Linked DNA regions of Callithrix jacchus. The protein of the gene in region 2 interacts with the protein of the main gene of each other region in a pairwise test. Links are inferred from orthologs where the notes say so. Each region holds a gene or a part of one and is shown on either strand. Other genes may lie near its edges.

The links. The genes of interacting proteins can lie anywhere in the genome.
Region 1: the proteins of GPR25 (region 2) and VAPB interact in binary tests that used the Homo sapiens proteins (3 or more experiments, as listed by UniProt). The two-hybrid records come from large-scale screens. The link is inferred for Callithrix jacchus from reciprocal best matches to the Homo sapiens genes GPR25 and VAPB.

The regions. Positions count from the first base shown.
Region 1 is NC_133506.1:54,026,122-54,033,388, forward strand, and holds the end of VAPB (vesicle-associated membrane protein-associated protein B/C), read left to right. Parts: intron 1-1,831; coding exon 1,832-2,008; intron 2,009-4,890; coding exon 4,891-5,049; 3' UTR 5,050-6,368; downstream 6,369-7,267. UniProt on the Homo sapiens protein: Endoplasmic reticulum (ER)-anchored protein that mediates the formation of contact sites between the ER and endosomes via interaction with FFAT motif-containing proteins such as STARD3 or WDR44.
Region 2 is NC_133520.1:27,883,299-27,890,829, reverse strand, and holds GPR25 (putative G-protein coupled receptor 25), read right to left. Parts: upstream 4,375-7,531; 5' UTR 4,318-4,374; coding exon 3,187-4,317; 3' UTR 2,521-3,186; downstream 1-2,520. UniProt on the Homo sapiens protein: Orphan receptor.

The DNA of each region.
Region 1 (7,267 bases), on a different chromosome or scaffold from region 2:
TTTGCATACCATCTCCTGCAAAAAACAAGATTTAAGTTGGCAAATTATTTTCCTTTCTCTGATGTCTGAAGAAAAAAATAAGCTGAAGTCAACAAATAAGTGGGCCTTTAGGAAATCAACCTTTGAAAAACTCGCAGAAAGACAACTGATTGACGCAGTGTTTCCCCTTGAAAAGTGCAGCCCAATGTCCATTGCGATGTCATAAATCCCAAAGAGCTTTTGTGGCCCGGCAAAGGTATAGGTTGCTGTTAAACAGTGGGTGAAGTCAAACAGGGAATAATTTGCCCTTTATTATGGTGCTTGATAGACAGGTGGGAAGCTCTCAGGTTCTCTTGTTCTACAGAGTGCCTTGTCAGCCTCCCTACCCCTTTTACCCTATCTATGTCTTCAGTCAAAGATTGTTTTTAGGTGAGGATCAATCTCAGCACTGTTGACAGTTGGGGTGGATAATTCTTGGTGTTGGAGGTTGCCCTGTGTACTGCAAGGTCTCTTAATAATAGCAGCATCCCTGGCTTCTGCCCTTTGGGTACCGGTAGTACTCCCAAGTTGTGACAGCTAAAAATGTCTCCAGATGTTACCACACGTGTCCTGGAGGTCAATATCAACCCCCCATTGAGAATGATCCCACTCCTGTGTTGCCTACCTGGGAGAAGGCAGGAGCCCCATCCTCTAGGCTGTCTGCTCATGGTCTCTTTCATGGTCCTCACTTGTGACCAGTTGAAGAAAGGAGACTGTAACTGAAATGCTCATTTGGGCTTCCCTTCAGCATAGTCAGAAACATTTTAATTGTCATAAAAACACCAAAACTGAAAACATGCAGCATATGAAACTACCCTAGAGGTTAATAGCTGGAGTTGGGAATAGCAGTGTCCCAAAACGTTCTGTTAACATCATCCATGTTGATCTGCAGGGATGTTGTTGATTTGTGTCAAACTACCTGGTATTTTCTTTCTGCTCAGTCACTTACCACTATCATTACCCTGTTTCTTTAAGTGGTCATTTTTCCCTCTTCCCAGTGTACAGCCTGTCACAGGAAGGTCAGTTTGGAAGTTGTGAAACCTGTATTCTGGCCTCAGCTCTGTGATAGGTTGACTCTGTAGCCTGGGACCTTGCCTTACAGGGCCCACTCTTCTCATCTGGAAAATGATGGGTAGAGCTAGATTCCTGGTTTTCAGTTTGCTACCCAGGTCAGTGATCCTTAGTTACTCTTTCCCTGACAAATTTCATGTTCCCATGCCCTCCCTCTACTGACTGGCTCTCATCCCAGTAAATCTCAAGAAGGGGCTCATAGCTCAGTCTTGGCAGGGGACATGAGGGGAGTATGTAGCTTCTCAAGATTGAAACACTGCAGACACTGAGCTTGTTTCATCTTCATCCCAGCTTCCAAATGCTAAGTTGGTAAAATAAATCGCCCTCGGCGTAAATGCTCTCCCAAGCCTCCTATCCCCACCAAGGCAATCTTAGGGATGTTCACATCTTTATGGTGACAGTAATTTGTGGCTAATAATTCCTGAGCTTGCACAATTACAGTATGCTAAGTTTTGCATGACAGGAATTTGATAGTGCAACATACACAGCCCCTTTTCTCTTTCTTTGAAGTATTAGTCTCAGCCGAACTTCATTATTTTCTCTTATCCATAATTTCTAGAGCCCAGTTGCTTTAGATTATTAAGATACTAGATAAAGTGATCCATTTGAAAAGTAAATGTGACATTTTACAATGTGGATAAAATGCTACTACATTTGGTGTTTGCTGAGAACTACTTTGCATAAAAAAGTCTCCTTTATTACATGGTTGGTGACACTTAGGCTTTCATTTATTTTTTAACAGCATGATGTAGAAATAAATAAAATTATATCCACAACTGCATCAAAGACAGAAACACCAACAGTGTCTAAGTCTCTGAGTTCTTCTTTGGATGACGCCGAAGTTAAGAAGGTTATGGAAGAATGTAAGAGGCTGCAAGGTGAAGTTCAGAGGCTACGGGAGGAGAACAAGCAGTTCAAGGTAATAGTTTATTTTCTGGTAAGCTACAGAGAACAAGGGCGTTTTCACTAGGATCTTGGATGAGGAAGTTGATGAACCAGTAAATATATAGATTTATTTTTGCTTTTGGCATTTGTCTATCTTTTTTCTCCCCGGGAAGAAATTTCCATAGCTTTCATCAGATTCTCAAAAGGGTCCTTGGATCTGCCTAAATTAAGAGCCACTGTCCCTTGATCAGCAGTTCTCAACTGTTTAAGCCCTTGTCCCCTTTAAAAAAAAAAAACAAAAATCTCACACTCTCCATTAGTGTAAATTGAAAATAAATGTTGAGACCAAAATAGCAGTTTTTATTTTGAATATGCATTTTTAAACCCCATGCCATCCCCATTCACTTGAGTGAGAATTTCTTTTTTTCAGAGGGTAAATACTGACCTATACTCTGTTTTAATGCAGGTATAGTTCTGATTTTAGAAGACTCGAAATAGGTCTGGGCAGTCGTGGCTCATCACACTGTTGATTGGTGTCATGATGAGATTGGAGGTGGGATGCTGCACAGTGGATACGAGGTGGGGATTATGGAAGGGAAACCTGAGCCTCTAGCTCGTTGACGAGGCAGTTGGCATTGGCAGTGGAAGGTTGAATTGTACTGAGTGGTGAAGGGGTGCTTCTTTTGGCTTAGAGGCCTGTAGTGGGGTGGAAGTTGCTCTCATCCAATTTGAAACAACTCTGAATCTCTGCTGGTCACAGCATCTCTTAGGCCTTTGTTTGCTAAACACCTCTAAGGCCCCTTTCAGCTTTAAAAGTATGAGTTTGTGTTAGACATGGTATTGAAGAGAACATTTCTGAACATCAGATTATAGAAACTTTTGTTGCAGCTTACATTTTTAGGCCTTTTCCTTAATCTTGATCATGTCACCCAAGCATGTAAATAGGCTTTCATTCTTAAAGTACCCTACAGCCAGGTACGTACAATAAATTCATATATTTTGACTTTTCCTTCTCTTTTATTCTGACAATGAGATAGATTTAGGAGAACTGACAACATTCAGGAAATGGTATGCAGTATCATCTTCCTTTGCAGTGATCTTGATTTGGCTCAATCAGTAAGTTCTTCTGTGTGGAGTAAATTGTGAAGCTGACACTACTTTTTGGCTAAAAATCTAAGCTATACCTAAAGCTTCTCCTTGGGTGTATTTCTCTTCAGAAACAGAGTTCTGTGCTGTTTAAAGTGATAAATAGGTAGAAATAGCTTCTATATAAACCCAATAAAATAAATGCTGTAGTTTGCTGTGCCCATTTTTTTTTTTTAAGCCAGTCGAACACACCAGTTGTTTATCATTGTGCAGTGATACTGGCCATGCCCCAAGAGCAGAATATCCTCAAAATGTTATCAGACCAATCTTGACATTAGAAGATTCTTTATCTTGCCAAATGCTGCTTTTTGTTTTGTGTTGGTTTATTCTGTCATCTCTCCAGCAAATTTACTGAGGGTCTAATATGTGCATGGCACTGTGGATTCAAACATGAACAGTTCCTGCCCTTGGGGAGCTCTCTGGTGATGGGATAGCAGGGAGAGACATAGACAGAAATGATTACAAGCCAGTGTGATAAATGTCCCACAGAGATAGCAACAAATTGCAAGGAGAGTCAGCCCCATGGGACTCATCTGCCTCAGGACCTGCTAGGTATTTGGGTGGTTGGGAGAGAATGGAAGGAAATAAAGAAAAGAAAGTATGGCTGGTGTGTGGGGTTTAGGGGTGAGTAGATGAGGTGATTAGCAAGAGATCTGGCAGCTGTGATAAGTCTGGGCCAGAATAGAAATGGCCTTGATGCGTGTCCCTCTTCAGGGATGTGGACATGGCTTTGAGGGCATGGAAGTGGCATCGTAGATCTACATAGTAACTTGCAGATTCTTAGGAAAGTGCAAGGCAGTTGTGGCAGTGGAGGTGAAGGAAGAAAACATTTTTCATTTCTTACATATTTATGTAGTTTGGGGTCAAGGGGAGGGTGGGGAATATGGTCAAGTATCTTTATATGTATGAAAAAGAATGTTGTTTTTTCAACAATGAATCTATGCATTAAGTAGAAACTGTTTGAGATGAGTGTACCAAGGCCAGCCACATTTTAATATTCCAAATATCATTTGATCCAGCAGTCTGTTTGTAACTCATCAGGTACTAGCTATGTACAGAGTACAGAGCTCTTCATTTGACAGCTTCCAGATGTCCTACTTTTAGATTCTTTTTTTTTGGTATGGAATCTCACTGTGTTGCCCCAGGCAGGCTCATTTTTGTATTTTTAATAAAAGTGGGGTTTCACCATGTTGACTAGGTCGGTCTCGAACTCTTGAGCTCTGGTGATCTACGCGCCTCAACCTCCCAAAGCGTTGGGATCACAGGCATGAGCCATTGTGCCCAGCTGACTTTGTAGATTCTTATGATTTGTATATATATTTATGTCTTAGGAAATGCCTGTGATTTTAAAAATTGATGATGATTTGATCAAGGAAGCCTATTCATTAGAGGCAGAAGGGACAGAGGTTGGGGTTGAAGAAAAGCATCTGCAGACGTGGCCATGAGGGTGGGTGGGGCTGAGGGTGCAAAGGGCCTCGTCGACCCCATTTAAAAGCTTTTTTCTGTAAATCATGGGAAACCAAGGAGCACCCTGCTTAGATTTGTCAGCATCAAGTGGAATGTATGAAAGAAAAGAGGGGACTGTTTTCTCAGTGGCTTCAGGCTAGTGCCTTCCGCTCTGTAGCCTGCAGTTTCTCCATATGCAAAATGCGGTGGACCGTATCATGTCCTCCAACACTGGGCATAAACAGCCCATCCTGCTAAGCTGTACAGTTGACTCCCCTTTCTGGTGCCTTGGATTGTCTTTGAAATGTGCATTTGCTCCTCTAGGAAGAAGATGGACTTCGGATGAGGAAGACAGTGCAGAGCAACAGCCCCATTTCCATGTTAGCCCCAACTGGGAAGGAAGAAGGCCTTAGCACCCGGCTCTTGGCTCTGGTGGTCTTATTCTTTATCGTTGGTGTAATTATTGGGAAGATTGCCTTGTAGAGGTAGCATGCACAGGATGGTAAATTGGATTGATGGATCCACCATATCATGGGATTTAAATTTATCATAACCATGTGTAAAAACAAATTAATGTATGATGACATCTCACAGGTCTTGCCTTTAAATTACCCCTCCCTGCACACACATACACAAATACACACACACAAATATAATATAACGATCTTTTAGAAAGTTAAAAATGTATAGTAAATGATTTGGGGGGGGGGGAAGAATGATCTTTATTAATGATGAGGGAAACCATGAGTAATGCCACAATGGCATAGTGTAAACGTCATCTTAAACATTGGTAGGCCTTGGTACGTGATGCTGGATTACCTCTCTTAAAACAAGACACTCTTCCTCGCCTGTTGGTGCTGGCCAGTGGAGAGCTGGAGCCCAGCGTGGTGGGGAGTGCGGTCAGCTCCACACAGTAGTCCCCACGTGGCGCACTCCTGCCCCAGGCTGCTTTCCGTGTCTTCAGTTCTATCCAAGCCATCAGCTCCTTGGGACTGATGAACAGAGTCAGAAGCCCAAAGGAATTGCACTGTGGCAGCATCAGATGTACCCATCTTGAGTGAGAGGCGTGTGTTGACTGATTGACCCAGTGCTTTGGAAATATATGGCAATGCTTTGTTCTCTTAAAGGGACCAAGCTAAATTTTTATTGGTTCATGTAGTGAAGTTGTACTGTTATTCAGAGATGTTTAATGCATACTTAACTTATTTAATGTATTTCATCTCATGTTTTCTTATTGTCACAAGAGTACAGTTAATGCTGTGTGCTGCCGAACTCTAGTGGGTGAACTGGTATTGCTGCTGGAGAACTGTGGGTTCCTCTGTCTCTGGAGAGCCTGGTCATGTGGAGGTGGGGTTTATTGCAATGTTGGAGAAGAGCTTCCAGGAAGTGTTTTTCTGGGTCAGTAAATAACAACTGTCATTGGGAGGGAAATTCTCAGTAGTGACAGTCAATTCTATGTTACCTTTTTAAATGAAGAGTACTCAAGTCTTCTAGATTGTTCTTGTACCACCTCTCAACCGTTACTTATACTTCCAGCACCCAGGTTCAAGTCTGATCCTGACCTCCCCTTGGGGCCCTAGCTTGGAGTCAGGGCGAATGGATCAGGCTGCAGAGAGTTAGAAGCGAGGGCGCCAGCAGTTAGGGGTGGGAGCAGTGGGAAAGAGACTGTTCAGCGAATCCATCTAGTACCTAGTTGAGAGTTTGACTGTGAATTAATTTTATGCCATAAAAGACCAATCCAGTTCTGTTTGACTATGTAGTATCTTGAAAAGAAAAATTATAATAAAGCCCCAAAATTAAGAGTTCTTTTGTCATTTTGTCACATTTGCTGTGTGTGGGGAATTATTTTATCGTTTTTATTATTTTGCCATTGGAAGGTTGATTTTAAAATGAGCCTTATTTAATCAAGAAATAAGAAATACTTATTTAATGATTTAACTATATGTGTGTGAGAGTGTGTGTGTGTGTGTGTGTAGTTTTTGGTTGTTTTCAACTGACAGTATGAAAAATAAAACTGCTGAATATTTAAGCACCTGGTCACCCTTGGCCTTCCATTGCTTTGACCTTCAGTAAAAAGCCTCTCTGCTAGGTCAGGGAACCATGCCGTTGAGACTAGTGACAGGCATGCTGGGTACAGTCCCACTCTGTGCACAGGCTTGAGAGGACAAGTTCATCAGAACAAAGGCAGCCCTTAGAAGTCACATACATTGAGCCACATTGCTCCTAAGCCTGGCTCTGTCAAGTTGGGTCAAGGCTCTTAAAACTGGAGAAGTGGAAGTCTGTGGTTGGTCTGAGTAACTTCCTATCTTCATGAAAAATGTTCACTTTAAATCCCAGGTACTCACAGAAGTGGTGAGCAGACCTAGTTCTTACCCAGTCACCCATGGATTGCGTTGAGTATGCAGACAGGAGGCCACCCCAGTATGAATTCATCTCCAGCATTTTTCCCACGTGCACCCCCGTGGGAGTGAAAAGACCGAGCTGTAAGACAGGTGCCTTCTGCCACTTAATTTTCCAGAGGGGACTGACATTTGCTAATTGGAGGTGCTGCAGCCGGTTAAGTGTTTCTGTAGCTTCCAGGCCCTCATGTCCTTGATAGGAGAGTGCTTAGATGGCCCCTAGCAGTGCCTAGGTGTGCAGTACAGCCCCACTACATTAGAGCAGGGCTCTATTTATTTTTAAAGGATATGGCCTTGTGTTC
Region 2 (7,531 bases):
TCTGTGCTAGCTCTCAAATCATCCTCCCATAAATATCTTAAGAGAAGAGCACAAGTCTGTCAGCTCCCACTGCATTGGCTTACAGTATCCTTCTATTAGAAATCCTTTGAAGTCTCCAGTCCCCAGATAAGAAGTGTTGTGCATGACATCTGTTGCACACAGCCTACCTCCTTGCCTTGGTGACCTAATGGAGGTGGACCCCTTTTCTGTACACGACCCTCTACTACTGCACATGGCACGGTCCCCTACTGCGCTCGGCCCACCTCTCTGCCCAGGTGACATGGGGGTGGCCCCCTCTCTTGAGACTCACATGATTATGTATGCCCTATCACTAAGCCTATAGATGATGACCTCACTTACAACCCTTCCCCCTGCTTGTACCTAACAAATACAGACGCTTCTGCGCGTTCGAGGCCTAACTCTGCTCATAAGTGGCGTGGCCCCCCGAGTCCAGATGCTTTTCACCAGTTCTTCGGTGTCCTGTCTCTTTACTTCTCAGATCCTGCAGCTCAGCACAGCATAAGGGACACCCCATGACCCTGTGGGGCCCACAGAACATCTTAAATTTGCATAATAGTCTTCATCTTAACAAAGACGATACACTATTGTTAGATATTAAAGTTGTTTCCTTTCAGGTTTAACTCTTTAAAAACTTCTATAACTCAGTGCATAACGTTTAAATTTAGTACTGTTGTAATAAGGAGAGAGTGGTAGAAGTAAAATTACGGGGCCAAAGGGTATAAGCATTTTAAAGAAATAAGATATGAGAAGTTCTAAAGCTCTTGGTAAAGATTGACAATTGCTTCTTAAAGGAATCTACTCCCACTCAATATGTGGGAATGCTCACTTAACCAGTTCCTTGCTGAATCTGAGCCTCATCTTCCCCAGTGGGAGACAGGAGCTCACTGGTCCTCCTTCATTTTTGTCTGAATTTAAGGGAACATTTCCAAGGGACACATGGTAGATCAGTTCCATGATCTACTCAAACAAAGGGTGGAGACTGTCTCTCCACATTGCACAGAGTTCCACAGCAGGAGGGGAATGCTGAGTTTCAATAGCTACTGCAGGAGGGGAGCCAAAAACCCACCAGGGCATGGAGAAGCCTTTCTTCCTATTTTTTCAGGGAACTCAACCGTCAGTAAGTCAGAAGCAGCAACCTGGCAGAGGTGGAGGTGGGGACTCAGTCCCAATACCCTAGAGAAGTGCTGCCTCGGTGCGCTGAGATCTTGTCACACACACACCCAGATGAGAATCAGCTTCCCTGCCCTGGAAATTCTGGGGTCTCAGCCCGGTGAAAAAATGATTTCTTACCTCAGAGAGCAATAGTGAGGATAGGAAGGGCCAAGACTTAACCAAGCTCTCAAACACCAAAGCCCCTGAAATGTGTCCTGCTGGCACAGGTGGCCTCACAGGCTGCAAGTCTTGCCTCTCTTGGAGTGTATGGGAGGAACATGCAGAGACCCACTTTTTAGCAGGCTCACCTAGGAGAGATGACAGGTGGGGTCAAAGTGGGGTGTGATGTTCAATCTGCTCTAATCCAGCAGCTCCAAATGCTGAAGAGAATGCAGGGGTACTCAATGAGGGGATGGGATGGATAGCCTGCCGCAGAATGCCAGGCTTCAAACCCAACTCAGCACTGAGGTGGTGATTTGCGTGCATAGCCACTCCTTCCGTCAGTGCTTGCGACATTATGACTGGCCTGTGGGGATCTGGCTAGGATGTGCACTGACTGAAACGTCTTGAGGCCAAATATGCCTTGTTTTTTTTTTTTTTTTTTTTGATATGGAATCTCACTTTGTTGCCAGGTTGGAGTGCAGTGGTGCCACTTGGCTCACTGCAACCTCCGTTTCCTGGGTTCAAGTGATTCTCCTGCCTCAGCCTCCCCAGTAGCTGGGACTACAGGCGAGCATCACCACGCCCAGCTAATTTTTGTATTTTTAATAGAGATGGGGTTTCACCATGTTGGCCAAGATGGTCTTGATCTCTTAACCTCGTGATCTGCCCACCTCGGCTTCCCAAAGTGCTGGGATTACAGGTGTAAGCCATGGTGCCCGGCTGGCCAAATCCTCTTAAATCAAAAGTATAAACAGTGAATTTCCAAACCCTACAGAAACCTCAAAGGAGAAACCAGAGTCAGAAAATGGTGAATCCCCAAAATTTGTACTGGAAGTTCTGAAAAAAGACAGAAAAAAAAGGCCTGGTATATATTTGAAAAAAATGACACATCTTCTCTTGGAGGTGACACCTGGCTGGCAGACGCCCTAAACAAATACATTTTCTTTCTGTAACTTTCAAAATGTGAAATGTCCTTAAAAATAAGAATAAATGATTTGCTGCCTCCTGTGGGATTACTACACCTGCAGAATGCAGCCGGCTCTCATGGTTCCAGACATTGCCCCAAATCCTCAGCATCCTGAGGTCAACCTCAACTACTGTGTTGAGTTTTGTCTCACCCAGTGTGCGACCCGCCCCCTGACACGCATTTCACTCCCACTGCTCCAGTAAAGACGGTTGTCAAGACAGGGCTAGCAAGAGTGTTTATTGACAAAGGTGAATTCACAGAGAAGATTTTGGGGTCCCCGGTTGAATGATGGAGAATCTGAACACCTGGTGAGAGACTTCAGGATCTTCTGTCCAGAGTGAAGGACCAGAACAGCTTCCAGGGTGAGTCCTGCGGCCGCATAGGGGGAGAAGTGTCACCAGATTCAACTCCAGGGTTTAGAGAGAGACAGGCAGAGGGTCTGACTTGGAGAAGGTATTTCTCTGAAAGCAAAGTTTATTGTGGGAGGGAGAAAGCACAGCCAGAACAAGAGTGGTGTTTGGGGGTCTGGGTTAGATATTCTGGTCGGTGCTCTTCCCGATGGGGCAGAGAAGGAAACTCACTTCCCTTCTGTCTACTTGGTGAATCTGCGGGCCTCTGAGTTGCTGCCTGCTCCATCTCATAACACCTATCTTGGAGGGGGCAAAATTAGCTCAGGTGCCCTGCAGGCTGAGAGGGACAGCTAGCCTCAGCAGCCTGGTTTAGGGAAGTTCAGTCGCTCGAAGGTTCTGGGGAAGCTGATGGAGGAAACCGTGGGAGTCCAGGCAGCGCGCGAGGCCATGCGAGGCCGGCCGGAGCGGCTTGCTGACGCCAGGACAGGCGCGTCTGGGGAGCTCAGGCCCCCTCCCGGGGCCTCTCCCCGCTTCTCATTGCTCCACTGCGGCCCACCTCCAGCGGCCCGGGGCAGCCACCAGGAAGGAGGCCGAAGCAGTGTTCGCGGCCTGGGCTCGGCCCCAGAACACCGAACTGTCGTCCCTGGAGAGCGAGGAGGCCGAGCTGATCCTTCGCGCCAGGAGGCCGGTGCGCCCGCAGGCCTCGTCCCGCGCCCGGGCTCGGAACGAGCGGTCCAGCAGGAGGTAGATGAGCGGGTTGGCGCAGCTGTTGACGAAGGCCAGGCAGGTGGCGATGGTGAGGCCCCAGCGCAGCGCCAGCAGCAGGGGGCACGGCAGCGGCAGCGCCTCCAGACGCGCCAGGTGGAAGACGGCCCGCAGGGCGCTGAAGGGCAGCCAGGAGCCCACGAACGTGCTCTCGATGGCGAAGATGATGCGCAGCGAGTTCCTCCGGGCGCGCCCCACGTGCGGCGGCCGGCGCAGGCGACGCGAGATGCGGCAGTAGCAGAAGAGGGTGACGACCAGGGGCAGCACGAAGGTGAGCAGCAGCAGCAGCAGGCTGAGGCCCTGGAAGGCGTGGGAGGGCTCCTCCCCGCACTGGCTGCCCTGGCCCCCGGGCAGGGGCTGCAGCCCCCGGTAGAACAGGGAGGGCAGGCCGGCCAGCAGCGCCACAGCCCAGACGCCGCAGCACGAGGCCAGCGCGCAGCGCGGGGTGCGCAGCGGCCGCGCCTCGAGCAGCTTCACCACGGCCAGGTAGCGGTCCACGCTCATGCCCGCCAGCAGCAGCGCTCCCGCACAGCGCGTGCCCGCCAGCGCGAAGCTGCTGAGCTTGCAGAGGCCCTCTCCGAAAGGCCAGCGGCCGCCGAGCGCCACCGCTGCGGCCCACAGTGGCAGCGTGAGCACGAAGCCCAGGTCCGCGGCCGCCAGGTGCAGCACGAAGGTGTCCACCAGCCGCCGCGGGCCGCGGCGCCCGGCCAGCAGCCACACCACCAAGGCGTTGCCCAGCAGGCCCACGGCGAAGGCAGCCAGGTAGAGCGCAGGGATGTAGACGTAGCCGTAGGGCAGGTCCCCGGCCGGACACAGCTCCAGCTCCTCCAGGTCGTCCAACCCCGAGTAGTACCAGGGCGCGGACGCCGGGCTGGTGCTCCAGGGCTCGGTGGGGGCCATGGCCTGGCCACCAGGCCTGCGCGGGATGCAGTCCTGGGCGCAGGCGGCAGCAGCTCTGAGCAGGGGTGGGGGGGTTGCTCTTCACGCCCGCCCTGGCCCAGCACCTCCCTTCCTGCCACCCCAGACCGAGGCAAATGGGTGGGCAGGAAAGAGGGGAGGGAGGAGGGGGTGGGTTGGGAGGGGCAGGCTCCTGTGGGAGAGATAGTGGCCTCGGATTTGGGGCTGACCCAAGGGGTAAGGGCAGGGACAGGCAGAAGGGGCTTCACAACTAAGTCTGGGGAGTAAAGTCCTCAGGGCTGGGAGACCTGCCCCGCCTCCCAGTAGGAGCACGGCCCATGCCTCTATTAGTTGTTCACTTTCTTTGTTCATGAAATCCGGATACTTGCCCCACTGTCTCAGGGTTGGGTTGCAAGAGGTGGTGGGTGCCCGAGGGCCCTAATCTCTTCTCAGCCTCCACTTCGCCCCCTTCCCACCTGCACCCACCGGCACCCACCGGCTGTTGTTTTCTCTTAGAGGTGAGAAGACAGAGCCCAGGAATTTTATAAGAGTATGAAGCCTAAGGCACACCCCACCCCCAAAACACCTGTCTCCTAGGAAAGAGTCCACTACCAGGACACAGCAGATCTGGGTGGGTGGGGGAGCTTGCCTGGGCACTTAAGGCATCTCAAGTGTCCTGAGATGTGGGGCTAATGTCTTCATCCCAAGAGTGGCTCCTCTAACCCAATCAGATCCTCATGAAGCCATGCAGAAGTGTGTTAAGGCAGCGAGGAAGGTGTGTATTCAGATCATCCTGCTGGAAAGGGGTGGGACCTCACATCTGGCTCTCCCCTGTCTTCCCCCATCCTACAAAACCTACCTATTAAGCCAAACACAGATATAAGGTCAATTCAAAGGATGACACTTAATGAAACACCAGATTCGTTGTCCTGAATTATATGTCAGGAGCTTGGAGGTGGCAAGGTCCCTTGTGAACTGGGAAACTGAGAGTAAGGCAGGGGAATGAAGTCTCACCTTGAAGGGGGTGGTGGGACCTGAGGAGGAGAGGCTATGTGAGGAAAATCTTGCTCTTACTGCTGAAGGAGGCATACAGCCGCTTACATCTGAATTCTTCTTAGCAGATATCCCTTCCACAAGGTATTGTGGTGGAACTGATGTCACAGTGCATGTGCCCTCTGAGTCTGTCCCCAGTGTCCCCATGAATGAGTGGCTAATGTGCTGGGCAACCTGGTGTGGAAAATTTGAGGTGGATTATCAATTTTGTTCGATTCAGACTTGTAAACAGTGAACTCCTCCATGAAGCAGGCATTGTTTCAGGCATTACAAGAGATGCCATTCTTTTTTTTTGAGTTGGAGTTTTGCTCTTGTTACCCAGGCTGGAGGACAATGGCACAATCTTGGCTCACCGCAACCTCCGCCTCCTGGGTTCAGGCAATTCTCCTGCCTCAGCCTCCTGAGTAGCTGGGATTACAGGTACTCCCCACCATGCCCAGCTAATTTTTTGTATTTTTAGTAGAGACGGGGTTTCACCATGTTGACCAGGATGGTCTCGATCTCTTGACCTTGTGATCCACCGGCCTCCCAAGGTGCTGGGATTACAGGCTTGAGCCACCGCACCTGGCTGAGATGCCATTCTTGACCTTAGCCATTTGTTGCATAGACAGGAGAGATGGTTACTTAAGCAGAATGTGCAAGAGTCCAAACTGTAGTAAACGTTACAAGCCAGTTACTCTCAGGGATTAGAGGAGTGGGGTGTGATCATTTCCGATGGGAAGGCTGAATCAGAAAAGGCTTTCTAGGAAGTGACACTTGAGATCAGTCCCAGAAAGGAGTCGAAAGTCAAATAAGAGCAGCAGAAAAGAGAGGAAAGGATCAGACTAGGAGGAGGGGTAAAGGGAACAAGTATACCGAAATGAGGAGGAATGTGGGCTTTTCAGGGGACAAGCAGTCTGCCAGAGCCCAGGGTAGAAAGGAGGGGCAGGGGGAAGGAGATGAAGCAGGAAAGGATCTTGAAGGGATATGGATTTCAATCTAAAAGTCATGAGGAGCCAGGAGGCATCAATCTGTGTTTTGAAAAGATCCCCGGCAGAACTGTGGAGAGGGGAGAGGCTCAAGCCAGGGAGATCCCACAGTAAGTTGTAATTATTTGTGTCTGAAATAGATCATGAGCAGTGGGGACAGAAAGGAGAGGATATATTCAAGAGATAATTGTAACATCACAGGTCTCACACATAGGAGTCAAAGATAAGCCTGAGGTTTCTCTGCTTAGGGACTGTATGGACACCGTCCCCTTAACTGCCAAGAACACAGAGGGGCGCATGTGTGTATGTGTTCAGTTTGATGTTGGTTTGAGATAGGGTAACGAAATAATTTACCATGTAAACCAGGATGTTTCTGAGAGTGAAAGGGGCACTATCACAATTAACTTGGACCATAAACCAGGGCTATTTCGGGCAAACTGGGACATAAGGTCACCCTTGTTCAGGGTCCCTCTGGCACATGGAGATCCCAGGGAGGATTTGGAAAATGGTCTTAGAGGCTGGGCGCCATGGCTTACCCCTGTGATCCCAGCACTTTGGGAGGTCGAGATGGGCAGATCACTTGAGATCAGGAGCTCGAGACCAGGCTGGCCAACATGGTGAAAACCCATCTCTACTAAAAATACAAAAATGAGCTGGATATGGTGGCGAGTAACTGTAATCCCAGCTACTCGGGAAGCTGAGGCAGGGGAATTACTTGAACCCACGAGGCGGAGGTTACAGTAAGTGGAGATGGAGCCTCTGCACTGCAGCCTAGATGAAAGAGCGAGGCTCTATCTCAAAAAAAAAAAAAAAGAAAAGAAAGAAATTGGTCCTAGAGCTCACAGAGAGTCGGTATGCAGTGGTTAGGCTGTTCCTGTCAAGAATTTTTCTCCCTCACCAATTACAAGGTGGGTAGGGAAGAGGGCAGGGAATGAATGGTCTGGACCTTCCCTTCACAGCCATTTCAGCCTCCGGGCCTGGTTTTCCCCTGAAGACCCACCCCAGAGCTGCTTTTCTAATGTCTGGGCATGTGGTTGCTGGTGAGTGGTGCCCACATCCGGGGTGGAGTAGGGGGCTGCAGCCTCCTCCCTTAGAAGGCTGGCAGGGGCAGCGCTTGCCTGCCAGAGCCCGGAGACCATCAGAGACAGACCCAGCGTTGCTGGACTTCACCCCTCCAGCACACCTCAGTCTGAGGC